3 linked regions of the Rattus norvegicus genome follow. The protein of the gene in region 1 binds, or shares a complex with, the protein of each later gene. Links are inferred from orthologs where the notes say so. Each region holds a gene or a part of one and is shown in the gene's direction. Other genes may lie near its edges.

Region 1 (4,107 bases):
TAATGGGAATACAACGAACCAGAACAGAGTTGCATAACAAAATGTGACTGTCTAGAAAACTTGGCATGGTGGGAGAGGTGCACAAAATGTCCTGTTTAGCATTAGGTTTTGATGAATACTTTCTACTCCGAGTTTAAAAGCTCTACGGCTGATTCTCATTTTAAAATCACTAAAATGCAAGAATACTACATAAAAGCCTTGTTCCGGGCGAGCAGTAGGTCCGCTCCTGTCTTCACATGTGCACTACTGTAGTCTCCCAGGAACTGAAAATAGCCTTAGAGCCATAGGGCCTACCAATGAATGAATGGAATGCTTGGTAACATACATCACTTCCTTAGGAAGTAACTTTACTTGTGTTCTAACTTGAGGTACCCTAGTTTCCAGGATAGACAGGTTTCCCTCTGCCATTCTAATGTTTCCCGCGTTTAAAAGTAGCAGGAGTCACATGCTATAGTAGAACTGATACTAGAAAGAGCTGTGGGGTGGGATACTGAAGAGACCCACCCGTGAGCCCCGAGCGTCACCTGAACCCGGAGCGCCCCGCGGCCAGCCCCGCGCTGCCCCAGGTAGTGCCCCCACCATGAAGGGACCCTCGCAGAGCCTGGAGGCCGAAACTTCCAGGCCTCAGCATCCGACCGCGTCCGGTCGCCATGGAGACCCAAAGGTACCTTCTGGAGGAGCGACAGAGAAGCCCAGCACTGCCCCTCACGCGTGCGCAAAACCCGGACCGGGCTCGCGCATGCGTAGACTGGGTTTCTCTGTGAACACCTCCTTTGCTCTTCGAACGTCGTTGTTCGGGACAATCCCGGGCCCGGCTTCTTTCCCACGCCCCAGTCATTCTGACGCCGGTTCTTGGCCCATTAGCCTGTTATGGCCCGGCTCAGCTACGTTTGCTAACTGTCTTCCTGAGAAGAAACAAGCGCTGAAATTGTCACTTTCTAATAACTATGGCAAACCCACGACATGAACTTCCCAGTTGACACAGTCCTCTATAAAAAGACTATGAGGACACGCAATTTGCAACTAATCCGACTTTTGCAAGTTCTGTCTAAGCCAAGAGGCCATTGAACCAGGGATACCAATAACATGCCTGCCTCAACCGGGCCACAGCGCACGCGCAACGATCCGCGCAGAAGCGTCTGAGAAAACAGGATGGGCCCTTTCTTGTTGCATGGCATTATGGGAGATGTAGTCCATCCTGCCTGCCTTTCCTGCAGTTGAACAGGAAAGTGTGAAGCCATTAAACTGCGATTCCCGGGATGTCTGGTGTTTCCCGGGATGCTTTGCGAAAGCATGGCGGGCAAGATGTGAATGTCAGTAGGACGGTAAATAGGGCATTTTAATTCAAGAGAGAGAAAAAAAATAAAGTGTACCTAACTTCTCTTGTAGATTATTCATCTTGATATTCGCCTGACACAGGATGTAATGTGAATGGTTTGGTTTCACGTCTTGTCCGCCTGAGTGTGTGGATTACGAACCTTTAGAAGTTGCAGTTCGGAAGTCTCACAGTGTTTGTGAACATGATTTGTGCTTTTCTACGAGTTGTTCGGCATGCGGAGAAGCTGCACGGGTCGTTGGGCAGGCAGTTGTTGTTGCCACACTTTGTACTCACCAAAGCTTGCTTGAAAACCCAGCCTTTGAGATGGGGGCTGCGAGAGCAGAAGAAAACAGTGCAACCTAGAACTGTCCTTGGGTTCACCCAGAAAACCTTCTGGACACAAGGACCGGACCCCCGGAAAGCAAAGGAGGACAGTAGCAAGCAAGTGTCTATTAACAGGAATCAAAGAGAGGAAACCGGTGTCTCAACATCTCAGAAAGGTAAAAAGAAAAAAATAGTATCTAGGACTTAAGACTGTCAGCTCCTGTGCTCCCCACTTCTGGGAGTGTCTGCACTCCAGTATAGGACCTACTGAAAGAGAGGTGGAGAACTGCAGAAACACAAGGAATAGGAAATTATTAGGTCACGACAGAGTGTTGGGGAGAACAGGAGGTTGAGGCGTTTAGGCCAATGACCTGATTTGGGATTGCAGGAAAAAATATGGTTATGTCTTAGTCTAGTTGTTATTGTCCTCTCAATTTGGGGCCTCATGCGGTGTCTACTGATATGTAGTTTATGACATTATGGACAGTGGAATAGAAAGATTCGTGTTCCAGCCCTCAGCTCAGAGCCTGGTAAAGAGATAGGATTTGTGAAGCAATTACTGCTGAGATCAGTCCCATAATATCTACGATTTTTGGTAGATGACAATCTTTCTATTATTTGAAGTAGTGTTTTCTTTAAAGATTTGTTTATTATTGCTAGTGTTGCTGGTGTGTGTGTGTGTGTGTGTGTGTGTGTGTGTGTGTGTGTGTATACACATGAGTATAGGTAAAGAAGGAAGCCAGAAAAAGTCATCAGATGCCCCTAAGCTGAAGTTACTGGCAATTGTGAGCCACCAGATATGGTTGCTGGGAACTGAATTCTGGATGTCTACAAGAGCAGCAAATACTCTTAACCACTGAGCCATTTCTCCAGCCCCCTGAACACATTTCAAGTTCACAGCCTGTACTGAAAAACCAAAAGTATGTTCTAGAAATGACTTCTAAATAAGTAATTTTATTATATGTCATTGTACCTATGAAAAAAGTAGAGGGAAAAAAAATACCACTTGTTAAACTTTGATTTCTTGGAAAAAATAAAAATTTAAAGACTGAAGTTAGAAAAATCTGGGTTCCTCATGTGACTGTACATACATATAAATGACCAAAGAAGTAAAGCGCTCTCATAATCAGACTTTGCTTGTGATGTAGCTCTTCACATATAACATGCATTTATGTAAATAATGTGTCTGTACTCACTCCCCTTTGATTGATTACCTTATCTCCCCAAACTGCTCTTTAATCCATGTGTTCATATACTTACTTAGTGCAGAAAAAAATAAAAACAATCTCTGTAAGTTTATTTGATTCATCAATCTTCCCAACCAACTACATTTCAATTCCAAGCTCAGTTCTTTGGTTTTGTGCACCACTCAGTGGGGTCTCTGGGATGGGTTAAGAGTTGCCTTGATCTGGACAGGATAGACCTGTGTACACGTTGCCTCATCTTGTGACCATTCTCACTCTGAGAGATCGATAAGGGTTTTACGTTACTAGAACAGAAGCAGTATCTATCAGCGACAGAAATCCAGAGGTTCCTAGGCCCCGTGCATAGCCAGGCCACACTAAACAGGTCTGTTCTCTTCTGGCCTTGGGAGCTAAGCAGAACTAGGCCTGGTTTGCACTGGAGTGAGGGGTTCTTCTGAAGCTTGGGAGCATTTGAGATGAGCTACTGAGAGCAGTGCTCTAGGTCTGGACCCAACTGCTCCCTGCTAGGAACACCTGAAGCCTCCAGAGGCCACAGCTCTGTGGATACACGTGTAACTTATTGACGTTTTCTCTTTGCAGTGAAAGAAGCCGGGAGAGACGTCACCTACCTGATAGTGGTGCTCTTTGGAGTCAGCATTACAGGTTACAGACCCAGCAAGCACTTGAATACCTTTCCACAGCCTCTCACCCTACTGCTTCGCTTCACTGCGTTCTCCCTCTGCTTTTTCAGGCAGCTTGTTATATACGATCTTCAAAGAACTGTTTTCCTCATCCAGTCCTAACATCATCTATGGGAAAGCCTTAGGGAAATGCAGAACACACCCTGAGGTTAGTTTTCTGATGATCGTGTGGGGGAGGAGGAATGAATCCCTTGTGAAGCCCATGCCTCCACACTGTACTAAGGCAGTGGGTTGCTTTTCTGTTTTTAGGTCTCTGTTCTCTGAGGCACTTTGACCCTAGCACCCAAAGGTCACTGCGCACGCTCTCCTCCTCCCCGCTATGCCAGTGTCTCTGGCATCCTTTGTTTTGTGTCCTAAACCACAGAGTGTAGCTGAGAGAGTTAAAAGTTGACAGAGACTACATTTAGGGCACTCCACTGTAGTCAGTGGGCATCCAGGGAAGAGTGGTCTCCAGGAGGCACCCCAACTGTTTTAGTAATCCCAGGCTCAGTCTCTCGGGCATGTTCAGATTAACACAAGTAGAACCGTACAGGATACATGAAAGAATGAAGTATTATTAGGATCGTAGCTTCCTAGCTGG
Region 2 (4,018 bases), on another chromosome or scaffold:
AAAAAAAAAAAAGAAGAAAGAAAGAAAAAGAAAAGGTGGAATGGATAGAAACTCCCTTCACAGCTGGCACAGTGACTAAGTTTTCCTGATAGTAGTTAAAATTAGGCTGATAGAATTTCATGCTTTTAGTGTTTTTTCCTTAACCAGGGAGGTCTCACATCTCAGGCTGGCATTGAACTCCACGTGCAACTGAGGATATAACACTGAACCGATGCCTTCACTTTGTACCACCATACCCGAGTATGTGACGCTGGAGATCTGACTCAGGGTTTTGTGCCTGCTAGGCAAACCTTTTACCAATTTAAGTATGACTTTAGCCCTATTTTTAGTCTCTTTTCTCTGGGCTAAACATAGCTCGTGCTTTCTGGGTATCCTTTGTAGAGAGGCATGGAAGAGGGTCCTGCATCAATAACTCCCAAAATCAATGGTCGCAAATTGGTCACGGCCCCTGAAATGGTCCAAGTAGCTCTGTAAGAGGCACACTTATTTTCGTCCTGGTGAGTTGGCTCAGTGGTAAAGTGCTCGCTGTCAACCCTGATAACTCCAGTTCTGTAGGTTCTCCTCAGACCTCTATGCATCCACCAGATCCTGGATATAAATCCATAAATAAATGTAATAAAAAGAATTTTTATTAAAAAAGTTATATATTACATTCCAGACGCTATGACCAAACAGTTCTCCCCTACAAGAGCTTCATATATTTTCTAAAGAGTCACTATTCAAAAAAAAAAAAAAGAGTCACTATTCACGGCAAATTAAGTAGGAATATTAATAAACAGCAAAAGTACTTAAAAAAAAAACAAACAATCCAAAAACAACAAAAAACAGCGTGTGGGGAGTGGTGACACACACCTTTAATCCCAGCACTCGGGAGGCTGAGGTTAGCTCACCTCTAAGTCCGAAGCTAGCCTGATCTACATAAGCGAGTTCCAGGACAGCCAGAGTTACACAGAGAAACTCTGTCTCAGGGATTAAAGGGGGGAAAAAAGAACAATAAATGTTTATCCCAGGCCACGGGGGTAACCTGAACTCCGTCGCTGTACTCCGAACCCTCAAACCTTCCACAGCCTGGCGGGGGAGCGGAGCTCGATTGCTATTGGCTGCGGAGGGGAATGATGACCCAATCCTCGTCCAGTAACACGCCTCCGCCTGGGATCACTTCCGTCGCGGGGATCAATTTCCGCCTAGCGTGCCCTACACTCTCGCGCGGGTTGGAGCCAAGATGGAGGAGTACGCGAGAGAGCCGTGGTGAGCTGCCGCCGTCGCCCTTGTCCCTTACCCCCTCCGCCCGCTGTGGTCGGAGTTCGAAGTGCAAGCGGAGGTCCGCGCCGCATGGCTCCGAGAGCTGGGCAGCTGTGGGTGGCGCGAATGAGCGTGACCAAGGTGGCTTTTTAATGCAGTGTGCGGGAACTCAGCACCCCGATGACCTTGTGCATAGGGAGGAGGTCCGGTGCCCGGCTTGGTGGAGCTTTGGAACCTCCTCCCTAGGGCAGGTGCTGTCGACCTTGTGTGGGGACAATAATGCTCCCCTCTGCCGGCTGAGGACCTTGAACACGTCCCTGGGCCTCGCTCTGCTCAGTTCTAGCTTCGACGAAGGGAATGTAGATCTCCGAGTGCCATACTTGAGGCCTTGTGTGTATGGTCATAAGTGTTTCCATGATGAAGCATTTCAAATGAGTAGACCACGAATTTCATCCACAGTCCAAGGGGTCTGGATGAGCTCTTGTGGGTTGGAGCGGCTTTTCCTGCGTGGAATTCCCGGACAAAAAGAGATAAATCAGTTTGTGGAAAATAGAAGGAGATGAGCTGTGTATGTTCTCCGAAAAGCCACGAACGGAAATAAATTCATCCATTAAGCGTTTATTAAGTGAGGGCTGTGTGCTTGGCTCAAGGAGTAAACAAGAGTAAATCAGGCATAGCAAGATAGAAAGTTAGTGTAATAGCTGTTGAGTCTCTCAAGTTTTTTTGAATAAAGCCTCAGGGGTCACAAGCAGATTTAGATCTTGATATTTAGGTTATTCTGGGTTTGTATTTGTTTGTAATGAGAGTCAGGGTATTATCCTCAAATAGTGGATCTGCCCAGGATTTTAAATTATTATTTGGTGGCACCCCCAAAAGTATGTTTGAACCCTCTGTCCTCCAGAGAAGGTTATCTCCATGTGTTGAGGTTGGATATGCAGGGTTTAGCTGGACTGTAAATTGGTATTGGATACCATATAATGACACAGATTGGTAGGAGAGGGTAATTTTGTTGCATTAAAGATTTTATAAGTTGCTGAGTTTTTCCCCAGGTCAGGTGGCACAGGCCTGTAACCCACACTTCATGAGGTAGAAGCAGGAGAACCAGCAAGTTTAAGGACAGCTTGGGCAGGTTCTAGGCCAGCCAGGTTAGACCTTGTTTCACACATATTTTCAGCAGTAGGAGTGCATGTAATCTCAGCACTTAGGCAAGAGGGTTGCCGGTTCCAGGCCAGCCCAGGATACATTGCAAGACCGTGTCTTAGTGTTTAATAAAGTCGCTGGACATTCCTTTTCTTAGTATGTCCTGAAGCCTGCACTGTCTGAAACAGTAAATGGGTTTAATCATTGTCATAATACTTCTTTTATCATTTGTTGTCTTTAGACTATATAAATATAGTGGAAAGAGTTTAGGGCGTTTAGAGTACCAAATTTTGTGCTTAAGTTGGCTGTACTACTCACTCAGTTGATTTTGGGCAGGCTGCTTAATTTCTGTCTGAGTCTTTGTTCATTTGTAAAACGCAGAGGAGATAGTCACAGACTTTTTGTCAAGGTAAAAGACTATGAATTCTAAACCACAAAATAGTTTATTATTCAGATTCTAGTAAGCAATAATGGTAAGTTTAAAAGCATACTGTTTTTATAGCGATTGCCAGGGTCTGTGCACTATAGTGCTTGTCTTTTGTAGGGAAGGATCATAGATTGGAGGTTAAGACAGGGTTTTACTATGTAGCCTGGGCTGGTCTCTGAGTCTTGATCCTCCTGCCTTTCTCCCAAGTGCCTATCTCTTGAGACTGACACACTGAGAATTTCTTCTACTTCTAATGGATGTGCTACTTACAGACCGCTTTTATGTTGTTGTTGCTGCTAACTTTAGACTTTGTGAAACTGTTTATAAGCCTGAGGAAGCCTCTCGGGCTTACCCAAAAAGCATGTGTGTGGGAACCAGGATCCAGGAGTGGGTGAGGGAGGTAGAGCCCCTAAGCTGGGAAAAGAGACTCCAGATCCCTGCATCAAGGTGCAGATCTACTGTATTGCACAGCAGCAAGCATTTTATACAGCCTTCGGACTAATGGAGAATTGACAGGAACTCTGGAGTAGCCAATCATCCCACTGTCACCATGAGGAGGTGCCAGGCTGCCAGAGCCTGAGGAGACTTCTGTAAAGGTGGGAAGCAGCCACTACCCTATTTCGGGCCCATTCCTACTAGTTTGCTAGGGTCCTCTATTTTGTGTCACATGGTATGCTAGTGGTTATGTGCTCCAGAGCTGTGACTTCCTCACGTTCTCCAGCTTGGGCTGCAGCATGCACTCACATAGAAACAACAGTCTTAGTGTTTGTTTCACAGAATTCATTTAGGTTTGAAACACGGTGAGTAATGGGTGCCAGCAGTGGACTAGACTCCCAGCCTCTTACTGGAAGGAGATGGTGGTGGAAGAATTACAGCTCTATTGAGTTGGTTGAAAGAGAATTTACCGTGTGTGTGTGTGTGTGTGTGTGTGTGTGTGTGTGTGTGTGTGTGTGTGTGTGTGAGTGATAACAAAGAAGTTTATATAAATCCTTAACAAGGCTGGAGATGCTGGATGTGTCAGATCCTGGATTCTATACAGACTTTTATTAGCCAGATCCCTAGAGGAGTGAGTGGTTTTACTCTCCTGGTCAGATTACTCAGATTTCAGTATTGTCTAAGTTAGGGAGCTGCATTTGGATATTGGGTTAACTTCTAACTGTCAAATAATATTCTAGTGTGTTAAACGGATCTGATGCAAACTGAAGCTTA
Region 3 (4,142 bases), on another chromosome or scaffold:
AGTCATCTTACTGCACAGTCATTTGTCTTCCTCCCTGCACTTCCGTTGCCCTTGGGACTACATCAGTCATCGGCAACAGGCTGCATCCAGGATTAGTTATCTTTTCATGTATTTGTTCCGTGGTCGGATCCTGGAGAGCAGAGGTCATGTCTTATTCATCTTGTGTCCCCCTTTGCACTTTGCCTGCTGTTCGGGGGGCATAGTGAGATAGTCTATAAATCTGTTGACAGATTGAACGACTGATTTATATGCTGCTAGAGCCAGAGGTAGATGGAATCTTGATTCGACTACAAAACTACAGAGAAAAAGACCTGTGTTCACCACATCATTTCTGAGAGATTGCTGATCTTCTCTGGACTAAATAATGTTGCTGAGGTCAAGATAAATACCTTCTGTGAAGCCCAGCCTCGCTACTGCTGTCATTTCTATTTCTAAGGGATTGAGTGAAGGCCAGAGGAATGTTGGTCTTAGCTGCCCAGCTCCCTGAGGAGATCATATCTTCTGACGAAGGCTCTGTAAAAGGGAACAGGTGCAGAGGTGGGGGAAAGCGATCGTGGGACGAGGGAGCAGGTGTCAGTCTTCAGAGGCTCCGCCCCAGGCAAAGAGCCAGAGCCCTAGGGACCTGCCACTGACTCTGTGATGTTCCCAGGCTTTAATAGATTTTGTTTGCAGCCCTCTGTTAGTTTTGGGAATTCCTGTCTACTTTCTGGAACCCCTCATAACCCAGCACACATAACATGGAGAGCAGAGAGGATGAGGGATCAAAATTAGATCACTTTGGGTGCTCAAATACCCTCCTTAAAAGGCTGCTCTGGTTCAGAAGACACAGTGACTAATTTTGCAAATGCCTTGCAATCCATTCGAACCAGGAGATTTGTTCCTTTGTGACTCGTGCCCACAAACAACTTTCAAAGAGGGAGACCCAGTGACTTGCTCAGCCTTTCAGATGCTTCTAGCCTGTCACCAATCACAAATGTCACAATGTTAATGAAGGGGAAGGGTGAAAAAGTGTTGTTGGTAATAGACGAGTAAAACAGGAGGTGGTAATTGGAGCAGAGAAGGAAGGACGCAGACCCGAGGCGAGTAAGAGGTCAAAAGGGGGCTCGAGAAAGGAGTGTAGCCAAATTTGTGACTGCACGGGCCACCCAGTGTCTCGCCCTCCACGCAGTCAGCCTGAGGCGAGGAGGCGGGGCTCGGTTTGAGTCTCCGCCCCATGCCTCGCCCTTCCTAGAAGACCCCGCCCTCAGATGATCCCGCCCCACTGCGAGGAGTCTTTCAGCCCAGGCCCCGCCTCCGAGCCCAGAAACTCCGCCCTGCACCCAAATCCCGGAAGCGAGAGTTGCTCCGCCTCTTCCGAGCCGGGTCGCGACCTTGAGGCTGGGAGTCGGGTTTCGGAGCGTGCCGGGCCTTCGCCCGCCCTGCAGCCCCCTTTCTCACCATGGCCGCGGCCCGGAACCTGCGCACCGCGCTCATATTCGGAGGCTTCATCTCTATGGTCGGAGCCGCCTTCTACCCTATCTACTTCCGGCCCCTTCTGCGGCTGGAAGAATACCGTGAGTGACCTCTGACCCCGCGCAGTGGCTGCTCCCAGCGCTACCCCGAAGTCTTTAAGCCCCTACCCTAACTGTTCAAGGAGTACTGAGGAAGGAGGTGGACTTAGGAGTGAGGCTACCCAGGGTCCAGGCTCGCCCAGTGCAGCCCGGTGATCTCGGACAAGTGGCCCCACCTCCGACCTTCAATGTTAAGAGTCTAAATAATCAGTTGCAGGATCAGCCACAGAACTGGAGCATCTTAGGGGTCACAGAGGTGATGTGTATGAAAGCAGCCTGCACACAGCAGGTCAACACTAACACTAGTTCACACACAGTTACTATATACTGAATATTTAATGTGTCAGGTTAGTCATATATCGAATCATTGAATTTGCACAGCCTTCCCTTGAGGTAGGTACTACCCATTTTACAGATGGAGGTCACACAGCTAGTAAGTGGTGGGGGAAATGTTCCAACCCAGTCTTCTGCCTGCAGAGCCCTCCCCTCCATTCACCCAGGCTGAGATGGTACTTTAGTGGGAGCCTTGATCATCCTGAGTTGAAAGGTGTTTTTATGGTGCATCATTGCCGTCCCCTAAGATGTCTTGGAGCGGAAATATTTCAAAGCTAAACTGTTAACCTGGGTTTTGAGTTTTTCCTCAAATCGTTTTTTTAGATTCTGCTGGTTTCCTTCGTTTTAAGCTGGTTGCTCACATGACAATGGTGAATGCCGGGGGAGTCATTTTTTTCCTTAATCATTCAGGTCCTATCATTCTAAAAGCCAAACTCTCCTTCCTGGAGACCTATACCTCAGCAAGGATTAGCACTTTGATACATCTGAAGCCATCTGTCAGAGAGGAGAGATGAGGCATTAGAGGATCATTTTGTTCTCCAGGAACCTGAACCATCTTGAAGATGAAGAGGGCCAGCCCAGCCCCCTGGGGAATATTAGCCGGAGCTGAAGCTTGGCGGTTTGACGCTTCATGTAAATGCTCTGACCATCTCTAGTGCTGTAGCACTTGGGTTCCAGAGGCAAAGCAGTTTCAAGTACACACACGAATCCCCTGGCAGCAGCTTTTTACCAGCTCAGACTGAGACGGTCTCTGTGCTTCCTGCCTACAAGTCCTTCTGCATACCCCGTGTGTGGAAGGAACATGGGCTGTGTAGGGTCCTGCAGAATTCGTCTCCATCCTTTTCCCTTGCTGGGTCCATGCCCCGGGCTATTTTATTACAGCTTCTAGAGTTGGACTCGAGACAGAAAGATCTGCTGTGGGTTCCCTTCGAAAACTCCCAGTTCTGAAAACGGGTATGGTTCTTAGCCAGTGTGCTATCTATCTGGAGTTGGTTTTGCTTGTCACAGCTAAGGGACAGAAGGGGAGGTGAGTAGGTTATTAGTATCTACTAGATAGGATCCAGGATAAATTTTCCATGATGCACAGAAGTCACCTGTGAGGAAGCATCAAAGGGTGAGGGCTGCCCAGCTCTTAATCAGTGAGTCAAGAGGAGACATGGCTTCCAGGAATACTCCCCAGTCTTTGGCTGACCAAGTTGCTTTAGACGGGCAGGTCAGGCTCCAAGGCTGTCCATACCCGCTTACCTTTTAGCTTATTAAAATAATTCAGCCAACTTTAACCAAAAGTTGTAACTAAATCTTTCAAGAAAGTCATACTAAACAGCTAATTTTTATCTGAAGTTAATTTTTAACACCCTTCCAAGCACTTCAACTCTACCAAGCCATTTAGTGCTCATAATAACCCTTTGTGGTAGCTGTTAGCTGAATGACATATAGACAGGGTATTTCCTCACTCTGAACCTTGCCCCCCCCCCCAGCCCCCTAGGCTGTGGTGATGGTGTTTACTGAACTGAATTTACAGGCTTAGGGTGAATTAAGTAGAGCATTACTTGTAGAAGTCTCTAGTATAGTCTCATATGAGGAATTGTACAAAAAGCACTTTTAAAAGAGGGCTTTGGTGAGGGACGAGCTATAAGCAGTTGTGTGCCTAAGGCCAGCGACCCAGCCCTAAGCATGTCCAGCTGGCTCAACGTATGCTCAGGAACTGGGAGCCTGCTGTGCAGGTGAGCTTCTCAGCCCATTTCAATCCTCAGTATTTATAGTATTTCACTGCTTTCCTTTCATATACTCAGCCTGGATTTTAGCTGTCACTTGGGTCTGGTACAGTTTAGATGTGGGGCAGAGCTGGGCTGACCCCAGTCTCTTCCCCTGCCACCCTTCTCACTCCGTCCTGGCCATGTGCATCTTGTGTAGTGTTTTAGCCCAAGCATTCTCTGCCCCTTTACTCACTAACATCACTGTTTTATCTTTACTCACCAACTCTTCGTCTTTCCCATGCGCCCCTCGTGCTTTTCTTGTGTGCATTATTATTTTCTTTTTCTTAAAGCTGAAAAGAAATGTGTGCTGTTGAGAGGGTGGATGTATGGCAGCTTATGTGTGTCAATTTCGGAGGACAACTCTGGAGTCATTTCTCCCCTGTTTTAACATAGGCTGTGGGGGTTGGATTTAGGTCATTGGGCTTGCATGGTAAGTGCTTTACCGGCTGAGCTGTCTTGCTGGCCCCGGTTGAGGTCTTTCTGAAATACACCTGGTACTAGT

Evidence for each region. The genes of interacting proteins can lie anywhere in the genome.
Region 2: Timm21 (region 1) and Timm17a share a complex: the UniProt entries of both Homo sapiens proteins name them as parts of the TIM23 complex. The link is inferred for Rattus norvegicus from reciprocal best matches to the Homo sapiens genes TIMM21 and TIMM17A.
Region 3: Timm21 (region 1) and Smim20 share a complex: the UniProt entries of both Homo sapiens proteins name them as parts of the MITRAC (mitochondrial translation regulation assembly intermediate of cytochrome c oxidase complex) complex. The link is inferred for Rattus norvegicus from reciprocal best matches to the Homo sapiens genes TIMM21 and SMIM20.

The regions. Positions count from the first base shown.
Region 1 is NC_086036.1:80,591,438-80,595,544, reverse strand, and holds the start of Timm21 (mitochondrial import inner membrane translocase subunit Tim21 precursor), read left to right. Parts: upstream 1-1,307; 5' UTR 1,308-1,520; coding exon 1,521-1,818; intron 1,819-3,426; coding exon 3,427-3,489; intron 3,490-3,577; coding exon 3,578-3,675; intron 3,676-4,107. Other genes in the region: Fbxo15 (F-box only protein 15), read right to left, coding at 669-838. UniProt on the Homo sapiens protein: Participates in the translocation of transit peptide-containing proteins across the mitochondrial inner membrane.
Region 2 is NC_086031.1:49,291,605-49,295,622, reverse strand, and holds the start of Timm17a (mitochondrial import inner membrane translocase subunit Tim17-A), read left to right. Parts: upstream 1-1,218; 5' UTR 1,219-1,222; coding exon 1,223-1,248; intron 1,249-4,018. UniProt on the Homo sapiens protein: Essential component of the TIM23 complex, a complex that mediates the translocation of transit peptide-containing proteins across the mitochondrial inner membrane.
Region 3 is NC_086032.1:61,932,733-61,936,874, reverse strand, and holds the start of Smim20 (small integral membrane protein 20), read left to right. Parts: upstream 1-1,342; 5' UTR 1,343-1,438; coding exon 1,439-1,553; intron 1,554-4,142.